Caenorhabditis elegans: one gene and its partner. The protein of the gene in region 1 purifies or fractionates together with the protein of each later gene. This does not show direct contact. Each region holds a gene or a part of one and is shown on either strand. Other genes may lie near its edges.

What was found. Proteins that work in one complex are often made in the same cells at the same time.
Region 2: the proteins of pno-1 (region 1) and mmab-1 fractionate together in Caenorhabditis elegans (co-fractionation; one large-scale study listed by BioGRID). This does not show direct contact.

What each region holds. Positions count from the first base shown.
Region 1 is NC_003280.10:9,737,993-9,745,901, reverse strand, and holds pno-1 (RNA-binding protein pno-1), read left to right. Parts: upstream 1-3,017; 5' UTR 3,018-3,028; coding exon 3,029-3,077; intron 3,078-3,146; coding exon 3,147-3,247; intron 3,248-3,666; coding exon 3,667-3,984; intron 3,985-4,032; coding exon 4,033-4,128; intron 4,129-5,438; coding exon 5,439-5,556; intron 5,557-5,607; coding exon 5,608-5,691; intron 5,692-6,455; coding exon 6,456-6,523; 3' UTR 6,524-6,676; downstream 6,677-7,909. Other genes in the region: Y53C12B.1 (U3 small nucleolar RNA-associated protein 13 C-terminal domain-containing protein), read left to right, coding at 134-941, 1,245-1,675, 1,721-2,387, 2,448-2,771. UniProt on the Caenorhabditis elegans protein: Part of the small subunit (SSU) processome, first precursor of the small eukaryotic ribosomal subunit.
Region 2 is NC_003281.10:4,919,319-4,925,211, reverse strand, and holds mmab-1 (Corrinoid adenosyltransferase MMAB), read left to right. Parts: upstream 1-3,464; 5' UTR 3,465-3,557; coding exon 3,558-3,594; intron 3,595-3,668; coding exon 3,669-3,920; intron 3,921-4,262; coding exon 4,263-4,485; intron 4,486-4,531; coding exon 4,532-4,664; 3' UTR 4,665-4,770; downstream 4,771-5,893. Other genes in the region: Histone-lysine N-methyltransferase set-2, read left to right, coding at 1-979, 1,043-1,270, 1,318-1,629, 1,677-1,787, 1,837-2,001, 2,055-2,210; ula-1 (NEDD8-activating enzyme E1 regulatory subunit), read left to right, coding at 4,896-5,010, 5,058-5,394, 5,447-5,536, 5,581-5,690, 5,742-5,893.

The DNA of each region.
Region 1 (7,909 bases):
GACAGAACTTTAAAACAAGTTTCACCCACAAAACTAGAAGTAGATTGATTATGATTATTTGAAAAATTGAATATGAATAATTTTGAAGTTTAATAAAATAAATTAAATTTGAAATGCATCAAATCTTTTGCAGCTATACCATCGGCGACCCTGAAGATGAGCTACGCATTACGTGCACAGCTGTCGACAAGAACAGAAATCGCCTTTTGGTCGCCTATAACAATCAAATAATTCGTGAATACTCAATTCCTTTGGATCCGTCGACAACTAAACCAGAGTTGGCCAGAACATGGAAAACCATACACACTGCTCCTATTCTCGTTATGGAATTCAATGAGGAGGGCCATTTACTGGCGACTGGAAGTGCCGATCACATCGTGAAAGTCTGGAATCTGACAGAGCAACAATGTACACACACATTAAAAGGACCCTCGGTAGTTTCAGCAATTCTGTTCGGAAAACATGAAAAGCTTGTCGTTGGATACATTGAAGGACAATTGAACCTCTATAATATAATGAGAGGTGCTCCGAAAAAACTTGTAAACACATGGAAAAGTCATAATTCTCATATTACCGCACTGCTTCAAGTTCCGGATTCACGAGTTGTTGTGGCTCTTTCGCGAGATCAGACGATGAGTATTCATGAAACAGAAACTCAAGAAACACTCCGAGTTCTTCCACTCTACGAATCAATTGAAGGCGGAGCAATCGGACATAACGGAAATCTTTTCACTGTTGGAGAAGAGGGTGTTGTTAAGGAATTTGTGATTGAAACTGCGAAGTTGGTCAGAAAGAAAAGGATTGCCAGCTCGAATCTCGATCACTTGGCCTACGATGTTGTTTCTAATCGCTTTTTGGCAATTTCCGCCGAACAAAATCTTATAATTTTGGATTTTGAAAATCTGAAAATTGCAAGACAAATTGTTGGATTCCATGACGAAGTGAGTTTTATAGTTGACCTTGAAAGAAAAACAATGATTGCAAATTGGAATTGAAAACCATTTGTTGATATCATTTTTGTCATATCAAGTTGCTTTAATGTATAATTTTTCGAATGTAAATCTTTTATACAAAATTCGTAAAAAAACACCGAAAAACGAAAATATTTGATTTTATCATTTTTTTAATAATTTTTTCTTTGAATATTACCACTTTTAATATGCTCTCAAATTGCCAAGTAATATTTCTACGAATAGTAATAATTGGATTTAAGAACCTTCTTAATTATTATTCCCTATCTTCAGATCTATTCGTGCTGTCTTCTTGGAAAAGATGAATCTCACATGGCTGTCGCTTCCAATACTTCTGAAATCCGACTCTACAACACTAAAACCCTGGATTGTCAATTAATTCGTGGTCACACAGAATCAGTTCTTTCCGTAGTATCTCCTACCTGGGACACATCTCTACTGGCATCATGTTCTAAAGATAATTCGATTATCTTTTGGAGACTTGTAACATCTCCTGAAAATGACTCTTGCTCCACTCTGGTCCCAGTTGCGGCAGCTACAGGACATGCAAATACAGTAACTGCTCTAGCGATTTCCAATACCGGACGAGCTCCTTTCCTGGCATCAGTATCAACGGATTGTACTATCAAATTGTGGGGATTGGGAGTTTCTACAAAACTAAAAGAAGTCAAAATTGATGCAGAAAAAGATTTTGTCGAACAGCTGTAAGTTTGAAAACATTTTTATTGCGAAAATAATTCACTTTCCAGCCCAAAACTGACATGCAGTTCAACAATGGTTGCACATGGAAAAGATGTGAATTGTGTTGATATTTCCGAATCGGATGCTCTTATTGCCACTGGAGGAATGGATAAACTAGTAAAATTATGGCAAGTGGATACTCACAAAATGCAATTGGGAATCGCTGGAACTCTATCAGGACATCGTCGTGGAGTTGGAGATGTTAAATTTGCAAAGAATTCTCACAAACTTGCATCTTGCAGTGGAGATATGACCATTAAAATCTGGAACATCTCGGAAAAATCTTGTCTTCAAACCATTTCCGGACATTCTTGTGCTGTATTCCGAGTGATATTCGCTCGCAACGATTCTCAGTTGATCTCTGCAGACAGTGCTGGAATCATCAAGATTTGGACAATCAAAACTGCTGATTGTGAATGTTCCATTGATGCGCATACTGACAAAATTTGGTCGCTTTCGAAAAATCATAACGAGTCAGAGTTTGTGACTGCTGGAACTGATGGGCGGATTGTTGTCTGGAAGGATGTTACAGAGGAGAAACAAAAAGCCGAGGATAATAAGAGAAGAGAGGCTATTGAACAAGATCAGACTTTGACAAATTTATTGAGTCAGAAGAGATATTCGGAAGCTCTCGTGTTTGCACTGACTCTAGCCAAACCGTTTTGTGCTTTTAAGGTGATTAGTTAAATTCTATTAAATGAGTTTTGAATTATCCATTTTAAACTTTCTTTCCAGGTTATAAATGCTCTGATGGCTGAGGAGACACCAGAAGAACTCGGTTCCGCAATTCGCCGCCTTGACACCCGTCAAATTGAGATTCTACTGCAATTCACAGTGAAATGGAACACGAATAGTCGAACATCGTCAGTTGCACAACGAGTTTTGTACGAAATTGTTCATATCGTGGATCCAGAGGAGTTAGTGTCAATGCCCGGTGCATATGGATATATTGAATCATTCCTACCGTACACCCAACGGCACATGGATCGATTGGATCGGGCAAAGCAAGATGTTAGCCTATTCGATTTTGTTTGGAGACAAATGAGAAGCTCTGTCTGAAACGTTAAAACTTTTTTTGTTATTGTTGTTGGTTTTTGTTGAATTTTCAAGCTCATCGGATCTCTATAGTTATCTTTTTTATTTTTAAAGTTATTTGTTGTTTTTTTTTTGTTATAGCTCAATAATTTTTATAAAATTTGTTTCCTTTTCTCCTTTTCGCTCAGCCTAACTTAATTCGTTTATCACGGATTTTAATATTTTAAACATTTTTTTCAGTTAAATCTCAACCTTAACATTTATTTTCAGACAGAGGAAACATGGCCACTAGCAGCTCCGCTTTCGACGATGAGCTCCCAATGGAGGAAGGTAAGAATTTGATTTAATGGATTTTTTAAATTGAAAAATTAATAAAAAATAAAATAGTATTTTTTTCAGGAATGCCGGAACTTCTCGATGACGAGGATGTCCCAAGCACACTTCCATCACTTCTCGAGCAAAATTTGGACACTGCTCCAAAGGGGGATGAATTCAAATTGGTAAGTTGTCAAGAAAATTTTCTGTGGAGTTTCTTGATTAAAATTAAAATATCTCAAATCAAAGAATCAGTCATAATGGTTTTTATTTTGATTTTATAATACGACGGCGGTACTTTAACACACGAAGAAAACGACCTGGCCGACTACAAAAGGACAGTTTTTTTCTTGCCCAAAAATTCTTCTACTTTTAACGTCTTTCCTCATTCTGCTGCAAGTTTATTGTCGTTTGTGGCTGCGGCGGTCGCCTAAACGTCTAGAACGAGAATATGGAAACATTATGAGTGTTTTTGATGACGTTGGAACGAGTATGATTCAGAACAAACACTGAACAGAACGTATAATTTTTTTTGTTAGTTTTTAAAAATTAAAGCTGAATTTTTAAAAAAAATAAAAACAATTCCAAATTCCATAATTTTCAGGTAAAACGTAAGAGAAAGTCTGGAAATGCGATTGACGTCGTCATGGAAGACGTATCACAAGTCGACGAAGACGCCACCGCAGACACTGCAGATGACTCCACTGGACCAAAATCGTCGAAACGTACAAAAGGAGTGAAAGGAGAGTCTCGTGTAGTTCCGGTACCAAAGCATCGTTATACACCTCTCAAGGATAACTGGGTCAACATTTTCACACCGATCGTCAAAAATTTGGGACTACAGGTGCGTTTCAACTTGAAGAAGCGACAAGTCGAGATTAGAAATCCAGTGGATCGAGAAGACACTACAGATTTGCAAAAGGTTATTTTATTTTCTTATTTTTACATTTAATTTTAACTTTTATTTCAGGCCACAGACTTTGTTCGGGCATTCATTCTCGGTTTTGAAGTCAATGACGCTATTGCTCTTATTCGACTTGATCACCTGTTTTTGGAGACTTTTGAGGTAAACTTATTTCTAAATTTCTGAAAAATTGAAAAGAAACGCAAATTTTTTCTTCTTCTATCGGGTGATTCCACCAGATTGACACTTTGAAAATTTATTTATTAGACGACGAGTGACGGAAAATGAAACTTTGAGTTTTTGAAAATGTTCTGATATCTATTCAATAAATGTCAAAAATGGTTCGAGCGCTGAGATTGGCATGACGCTGAAAGACAGGTCGTAAAAAGAAGAAAGAGCAAAAGCATTTTTAAGAAAAAAGCTGTACATCGGAAAATATTTTCAGAACGGAGAAGATATTTTTGTAGAGTGGGAAAAGAATAATCTGAATTTTGTGTCAATTTTTTGTATAGTCCAGACGCGATTTTGCTTTTTTTTTTTAAATCACAACACTTTTTTTTTTTGCTGAAACTACTGTATCCGGTCTCGTCACGACAATTTTTTGTTAAATGAGAAAAGTTGTGCTCCTTTAAAGTGTAGTGTATTTTCAAACTCTCATTTCTGTAGATTTTTCATCGAAATTGTGGAGTTTTCAAGAAAATATTATGTATTTCTTAAAAATTCAAAAATAACGATGTAAACACATGAGATTTTTCTAAAAAATTCGTTACAAAATTGGGCAAATTGAAATTGCAGTACTCTTCAAAGGCACATGTCGAAACCGGGTACTGTAGCGCAAAATTTTCTTCCATCCAAAACAGAAAATCAGGATTTGGCGCCTTCAATCCTACCTTCTGCCCTTTTTTTCATTTCTGAATGTCTCATCGAAAAGCTCACTAACCTTGAAACGGTGTATAGAGAAGGAGCCATGTGTGTGTCCCACTCTTACACAAATGTCCCATTATTATCATGCTTCCAATTCATCCTTCGCAACCCCATTTCAACCTTTTTGACGCCAAACACCCGGCCAAATAAGCGTGTCTTTTTCCTCTATTCATCTATGCTTCTCCCTTCCTCGTTCAGTCGCCACTCCGCCTCTTTTTTGTCGCAGACGCGAATGAAGCCGGATTACGGTAGTTTTTGGGACGGGAAATGCTCGCAGCATTTATGTACGTTCGCTGTAATCAACTGATAAGAAATTATCAAAAACTAGAAGAAAGTAGAGGAGTTAGACATTTTGGGCCAAAAAAAAATTAAAATGAATATTTGTTATTCTAATAACAGACCTTAACAAATGATCAAAAGCTGTATTTGACAAGACATATTTATTTGATAATATAAACAATATTTTGTTGTTTTTACGAAACAATTATTGATAAGACACCACTGGTCTTACAGTTAAACTATTTATTCCAAAAATCACAAAATTCCAGGTCGCAGATGTGAAACACTCGCTGAAGGGCGATCATGTGAGCCGTGCCATCGGACGTATTGCAGGAAAAGACGGACGTACCAAACTGGTCATTGAGAACACAACCAAGACGAGAATTGGTAGGAAAAATGTCAGTGATCTAGGAAATTGCAAAAATTGAAATTTTTCAGTTGTCGCCAACACCAAAATTCACATCCTTGGAGCCTATCAGAACTTGAAACTCGCCAGAAATGCTGTTTGCAGTTTGATTCTAGGTGAGAAATTTCAAGAAGATTGGATTTTAAATGTTAATCATGATTTTGAAACATTAAAAAATTTTTTTTGTAAATTTGATTCCTGATTCATTGGTTTCCGAAAAATGCTGCCAATTTAATTGTCTGCGCCGTTTTTTTTGCACTTTTCGCGTTCGCCGTTGACACAAAAGCCTTTTGTGCGTATATGAGAAACATCCAAATTACATGGTGTCAATGCAGATATGTTTTTTTTGGTAGCTTTTTCCAAATTAATTTGCCATTATTCTACTTTTGTCTGTCTGTCACTTTTTGTGCCGTCTGGACAGGACCTGGTTCAGTCACGCAATAGGCGGCAGAAATATCAGAAGAGTAGGGGGACGGCAACACATTCATACGTATACATACACTTTCCAATACCACCGTGTCACATTTGATGGGACGCCATGAAAATGTGTGTTTGTACACAAATTCAGTGCGCACATGAAGATGAAGAATATAGAAAAAAAGCGAAGAAATGCCATTCGGGATGGGGTTTTCTCTGCGCACGAACACATCGTGGTTGCATTCCTGAAGGAGAAAGAGAAAGGTCGTTGCACTCGGTTTCTATTGCTGAAATGATGATGGACAGTTTGAGGTGTTGTGGTCTCACAAACACATATTCTTCCAAATATTACAGTGCATTTTTATTAAACATTGCAAAACTATCGAAAGATATATGCCCCTAAATTTAGATATTTAAAAATATCAAAAATCAAACTTAAAACTATTTAAAAACGAAATTTCAGGTTCGAACCCATCAAAAGTGTACGGAAGTCTTCGCAACATGGCATCGCGTGGAGCAGAACGTCTCTAATCAACAATTACATTTTTTCTGTCTTTTTTTTGTTTTTGTTCATCGTATTCCTTGTTCGTTTCTTTTTTAATTGTTATGTTACCACACCAATAATGCTTGTTTCTATATCTCAATTGTTGAGTTTGTTGAGATGATTTATGAACTTATACTTGGAATCTGCTAGTTTTCGGAACCTTCCCAATATAGTGCCCCTTCACCCATTCAGTCTAGACGTGCTCATTGTGCTCATCTCGTGCCACGAGCACCTCCCAGCACCACCATCCCACCGATCTCCGCCCTTTTTCGTACATTTCAGCACATGCAGTTTTAGACGTTTTAATGTCGTTCGCGTCGCGAGCCGCCGACGTTCGTCTTATCAGTAAGTTGACAAACTGCCAATCAAACAAAACCCCCAATGTGTACTGACTTTGGTTGAAGATTGTGAACAAGAAAAATGTTGCGACTTTTTTTTTGACTACGTTTGCACTTTTTCAAGATTTTCGCAACATTTTCAAGGAATGCAATCAGGCGGCAGCAGTCGGAAAAGAAATTGATAACAGAATGATCAATCACAAAATGGAGGAAATTTTCAAGCTTCAAAAGAATTTCAGCACAAAGTCCCCCTGAAAAGCTACGTGGATTCTCACAGAATGAATCCGACCTTTCCAAATGTTTTTTTTTCGGTTTAATGTGTTCGTTTGCGTTGCGTTTTCCGAATGGCATCGTCCTCGTCGCAAAACCGATTCGAATTGGTCGGTCGGTCGGCAATCTCCATTTTATGACCGTTTTTTTGGTGCTGCTGAGGCTGCTGTTGACTGGGATGTACCTTTGTTTCGCGTTGAGACCCCCGATCCATCTCATCGGGAGGTTAAAGCCCTCTTATTCATGTGGTTTAGTGATGTTTTTTTCTTGGTAAATGAGACAGAAATGGATGGAAATTACGGACATTTTAAAATTTTAGACAACAAATACGGTACCGGGTCTTGACACGATCAATTTTTCAGAGGACAAAAGAGTGTGCGCCTTTAAGGAGTACTGTATTCGCAAACTTTTCGGTGTTGAGCGGTATAGCTTTTTTTTCGTTGTTAAATTTTTTAAATAAATAAATACATTTTTATTGGGAGAACTGAAAATAAAACTTTTTAAAAACTCAGAAGCAACGAAAGTTTAAATTTAAAAAAAATATGTTTTCTGAAACAGGAGAAATTGGGAAATACCCTATGGTACGGTAACGGAAAAGTTTCATTCGTGCTAAGACCTTGTCTATGGGTTTCTACATGGCCGCGGAAGAGAAAGCTCGGCCGCCAACTTTTTTTCTGGAAATTGCTGTACGATCAAGTTTGCATACAGAACCAAGACGATTTAAAAATGAAAAGTTTATTGAAAAATCAAAAATAATAAAAATAA
Region 2 (5,893 bases), on another chromosome or scaffold:
CAAACACCAAGAGCACCATCATCATGCGAAGGCATCAGTTTCGACCCCAGTCCATTCGTCAAGCACGTCAAGGAATTCATCCGTAGCTCCAACACCTCAACGTACAGTTTCCACGTCGTCATCGTCTTCATCGGCCGCAACATCAGCTCGAGTATCAGAAGATGAATCGGATTCCGACAGCACGCCGGGTGAAGTTCAAAGACGCAAAACATCAGTTTTGAGCAATGACAAGCGACGAAGACGTGCTTCGTTTAGTTCAACAAGTATTCAAAGTAGTCCAGAAAGGCAAAGAGATGTCTCATCGAGCTCTCGAACTTCTTCATCTTCGTCTACAAGCTCAATGAAGCAGGAAGAAACTGCTGATGAAAAGTCACGAAAACGCAAGTTGATTATGTCAAGCGATGAGTCGTCTACAACAGGATCAACTGCAACATCAGTTGTGTCAAGTAGGCAAAGTAGTTTGGAGCCTCAACAAGAGAAGACGGACGGAGAACCACCGAAAAAGAAATCACAGACAGATTTTATTTCTGAACGAGTTTCGAAGATTGAAGGTGAAGAGAGACCACTACCAGAGCCAGTGGAAACTTCTGGTCCAATAATCGGTGATTCTTCGTATCTACCATATAAAATAGTACATTGGGAGAAAGCAGGTATAATTGAAATGAATCTTCCGGCAAACTCCATACGAGCCCACGAGTATCATCCTTTCACAACGGAACACTGCTATTTCGGAATAGACGATCCAAGGCAACCGAAAATTCAAATATTTGATCATTCACCGTGCAAATCGGAGCCAGGAAGTGAACCTCTAAAAATAACACCAGCTCCATGGGGACCTATAGACAATGTTGCGGAAACCGGACCCTTGATTTACATGGATGTTGTTACTGCACCCAAAACAGTCCAGAAGAAGCAGAAACCGAGAAAACAAGTTTTTGAAAAGGATCCCTACGAGTATTATGAACCACCACCAACCAAGGTAAGTATTTTCTGTTTATTTAATTAATTGCTTTGTCAAATAATATAATGTGCGATCTTTCAGCGCCCAGCTCCTCCGCCACGCTTTAAGAAAACATTCAAACCACGATCTGAAGAGGAAAAGAAGAAAATCATCGGAGACTGCGAAGATCTGCCCGATTTGGAAGATCAATGGTATTTGAGGGCAGCACTTAATGAAATGCAAAGTGAAGTTAAAAGTGCTGATGAATTGCCCTGGAAGAAAATGTTAACCTTCAAAGAAATGTTGAGATCAGAAGATCCTCTGTTAAGAGTGAGTTATACTTTTACTACTATTCTATTCATCAACATAATTTTCAGCTCAACCCGATTCGTTCGAAAAAAGGACTGCCAGATGCTTTCTACGAGGATGAAGAACTCGATGGAGTAATTCCGGTAGCTGCTGGATGCTCTCGTGCTCGACCATACGAGAAGATGACAATGAAGCAGAAAAGGAGTCTTGTGAGACGTCCTGATAATGAATCGCATCCGACTGCAATCTTCAGTGAAAGAGATGAAACCGCGATTCGGCATCAGCATCTGGCCAGTAAAGATATGAGATTGCTCCAACGTCGATTGCTTACGTCACTTGGTGATGCTAACAATGATTTCTTCAAGATAAATCAGCTCAAAGTAGTTTTCCAAAAAAAAGATGTTTGCCATAAAACATAAATTTACAGTTCCGCAAAAAGATGATCAAGTTTGCACGTTCTCGTATTCACGGATGGGGTCTCTACGCGATGGAGTCGATTGCACCAGATGAGATGATTGTGGAGTATATAGGACAGACGGTCAGTTTTTTTTGTGAAATTAAATTCCGAAGTATTGATTTTTTTTCAGATCCGATCTCTGGTGGCCGAAGAACGAGAAAAGGCTTATGAACGTCGTGGAATCGGAAGTTCATATCTGTTCCGAATTGATCTGCATCATGTGATCGATGCAACAAAGCGTGGAAATTTTGCTCGATTTATTAATCACTCGTGCCAACCTAATTGCTACGCGAAGGTACGTAGTTAATTTGATAATCTGATTTTAAAAAAATAATTTAAAATTTTTAGGTTCTTACAATCGAAGGCGAGAAGCGGATAGTCATCTACAGCCGAACAATTATCAAGAAGGGTGAAGAAATCACGTATGACTACAAGTTCCCAATTGAAGACGACAAAATAGATTGTCTGTGTGGTGCGAAGACGTGTCGTGGATATCTTAATTGATATGATTCGTCTAGTTTTTAAAATTTATATTCCATTCGATCTCTTCTAGTTTTTTAATATTTTTTATTTATTTAAATTTTCCTATCCAATTCCCAATTCGCTGGTTCGAAGTTGGAAATTGCTATCTGATAAGAATAGGCCGGTTCCTACTTTTTTTTTAAATATTGAAAACTGTATCATTGTTATTCATTCTCCTTATGGTGAGCTGAGAAATCCTTGTATTATTAGTGGAATTCGTTATTGTTGAACAATTGTTTGAGTGTATGTTATACGATACAAGCTCCCCTTTTCAACTAGATACTTCTACATTTTATCAAATCTCTTGTTTCTCTATAGGTTTACGAATTGTTTTCTTGGAGGATTTCCTCTACAGTCTCTTGTTTATCTCTCTATACTTGAACATCTCTGAAATCATTCATTTTCCCTTGAACTCTGAACAATTGGTCTTTCCAAAACAACCTCCCATTCAAGTCTTTATTCATTCGTGTTTAAAGTTAATTTCAGCTAGTCTGAATAGTTTTATGTTTTAAAAAGTGTTTTATTATGTTCTTTAAATGAAATAATTTTAAAAGTCATGGTTTTCGTATTTTAAAAAATTTTGTTCATTTCAGTTCGATTCATATTTCTGGTATTTATCAGCGATAGTGAAGAGACCCGAAGAACTCGGGGGATGTCCAACTGGGGGGATTACCAACTCGGGGGATTGGCCCCGCCCACAGAACCGTGGCTTGCAATACGCCCATTTCTGCAACTGCCGCACGATTTTAAAATTGTATTTTTATCAATAGAGCGAGGATTAACAAGAAAAAATGATTTTAAAACCGTGCGGCAGTTGCAGAAATGGGCGTATTGCAAGCCACGGTTCTGTGGGCGGGGCCAATCCCCCGAGTTGGTAATCCCCCCAGTTGGACATCCCCCGAGTTCTTCGGGTCTCATAGTGAAAATTAAACAGGTTTTCCAGTTTACTATTTATTTAAAAAAATACCTATGTATATACATTTTTTTAAAAGTTACCTAGGTTCGAAACATGACCATTTTCGGTTCAAAAAATATGATACCGGATCTTTTCAATAATTCATGATTCGTTTTGTCATGTTTTTTGTTTCAATAATACCAGGGTAATATTATGCATCATCTCTCATACCAAATAATCTATAGAATAAGCTCGAAAATTTAAGAAAAATTTACCATTAGCAATTTCCTTGTCACCACGTAGTGGCCACTTTCAACTGATAAACCTATGTTTGCATTTAGATGATTCGGAGTTGCGTACGGTTGGCATCACAATCGACGAACAAACTTCTCATTTTTTCCTCATTGTCCCGTAACAGTCAACTCTACATTTCGATGAGCTCTTCTGATTTGGGAAGAGGATTTAAACAAGGTAAACGTCTAAAACCATCGATTATTTCAACTGAAAGAGCAACCGATTTTACTACGTTAAAATTAAATTTTCAGGCCGTGGAACTGGTGATTCTGGGCAATCTTCTCTGTACAACAATGAGCGTCGCTGGAAAGATGACGACACTTTCAATGCTCTCGGAGCAACCGATGAATTGTCTTCATTTCTTGGTGTCTGTGGAGCATCTGCTCAAAACGATGGTTCAATGAGCGATGTAGTGGAGACATTAACACGCCTTCAATGTTGTCTACAGGATGTTGGAGCTCATCTTGCTACTCCACCAAAAAATTCTTCGGAGAGAAAACAAAGTGTGTTTTTTTTCTAAAGAGTGAAAAATCTAAAGTTTCCGTTACCGATTTTCAATTTTGTATCTTTATTTTAAATCCCGGAAAATTCTTTCGAATCAAGAAAGTAGTCGAAGTGACTTGGTATTTTCAGAGAAAGTCAAAAAACTGAAATTTTTTCGGAAACCAAACAAATTTTTTCAAGTTTGGTTTATCAAAAAAAAAGTTAATTCTATTGAATTAAAATAAAATAAAAATCACATATAGAGGAAAGATCGGAGATTTTCATATGAAGGTCTCTGGCTTTATATTTTTCTAAAAAATAATTTTTAAAAATCACTATTGAGCCGTATTCTATTCTTTCAGAGAAAACTGCATTCGATATTGCAATGGTTGAATGGATAAATGCAGAAATCGATCGATACGGAGACGCGTTGCCTGCAATCCGACAATTTATTCTTTCTGGCGGTGGAATGACGTCTGCTCAATTACAGTATTCCCGCGCAATTTGTCGTCGAGCTGAACGGAGTATTGTTCCACTTATGAGAGACGAAGACGTCGATCCAATGGCATTAAAGTTCTTGAATAGGTACTATGGTTATCGATTCATCGTTAGTAAGAAATATCAATTTCAGAATGAGCGATCTTCTATTTGTTCTCGGTCGTACTGCCTGCATGAGAAACAAGAACGAAGAGCTGACATATCTTCGCCCCGATTCGTTCACCAATTTGAAATGGGATCGTAAATCTCTTCACGAGAAAAAATAATTTTTTTTATAAATATGTAGTTATCATTCTTGTGAAACTCGCCATACACTTCGTGTAAAATTTTTATTGAATAATCTTGCCATAAATATCAGATTTGTCTATATATATTTTTCTTTTTTGAGATTCTTTATAATTTTTTATATTAATTGATTGTGAACTCTTCATAATGTATATTTTTGTTTAGAAACCAAAACGAAATTTTCAGATTTCCAACTTGTATAATTTTAGAAAATGCTACCATTTGACCCATCCACTAGATACGATCGTCAAGTTCGACTTTGGGGAGAAGAAGGACAAGCATCAATTGGTTCAACAAGTGCATGTGTTCTTGGAAGCGATTCGCTAGGTATTTTTGAAAAAATTGAATTAAAAATCCAATCTAAATATTTTTAGCAACAGAAATATTGAAATCGTTGGTTCTCGCCGGTGTTCAATCATTCTATGTCGTTGATGACGCCAAAGTTGAACAAGCTGACATCGGTCAGAATTTCTTCCTCCATGCAGATGATATTGGACGTTCTCGTGCCGAGGCAACATTGGAGAAGCTTACCGAACTGAATCCATCAGTCTCTGGTAGTGCAAGTAGTCAGCCACCAACAGCGTTAGCTATGGAAGATGTGGAAAAGCTGACAACGTTTTCTGTGGTTGTTGCTGCAAATCAAAATGAAGAAATTGATACGACGTTCGCGAAAGTTTTGTATAATATTAGAGTTCCATTCATCTGTATCAAGTACGATATTTTCAAAATTTGAAGTTCTTGCAGTTAAAATTCCAAAATTCAGAACTTTTGGACTAATTGGTACCATTCGAATCTGCATCAAAGAACACACAATTGCTAACTCACACGAAGAGAATCCGAGACCTGATTTACGGTAAAATATACATGAAAACTTCCAAAAAAGTTTTTATTTCTCAGATTGGATGCTCCATTTTCAAAGCTTATTGAAATGATCAATGAAACAAATCTAGATGAAATGACTCTAGAACAACTCCGCCATACTCCGTATATTCTTCTTCACTTCAAAGGTTTTTCTCGCAATTATGGTTGTATTCTGTTATTTACCTTCTTAATTTCAGCTCTCGAAGTATTCAGAAAGCAACGAAATGATCCTGAAGCGTTCCCATCTACAACTGCGGAACGTAAAGAACTTCAGGCGATTCTTATGAGTTTCCGACGTTCGAGTGAAGAATCCGGAACCAAGGATTCTGAGAATTTTGATGAGGCGAAA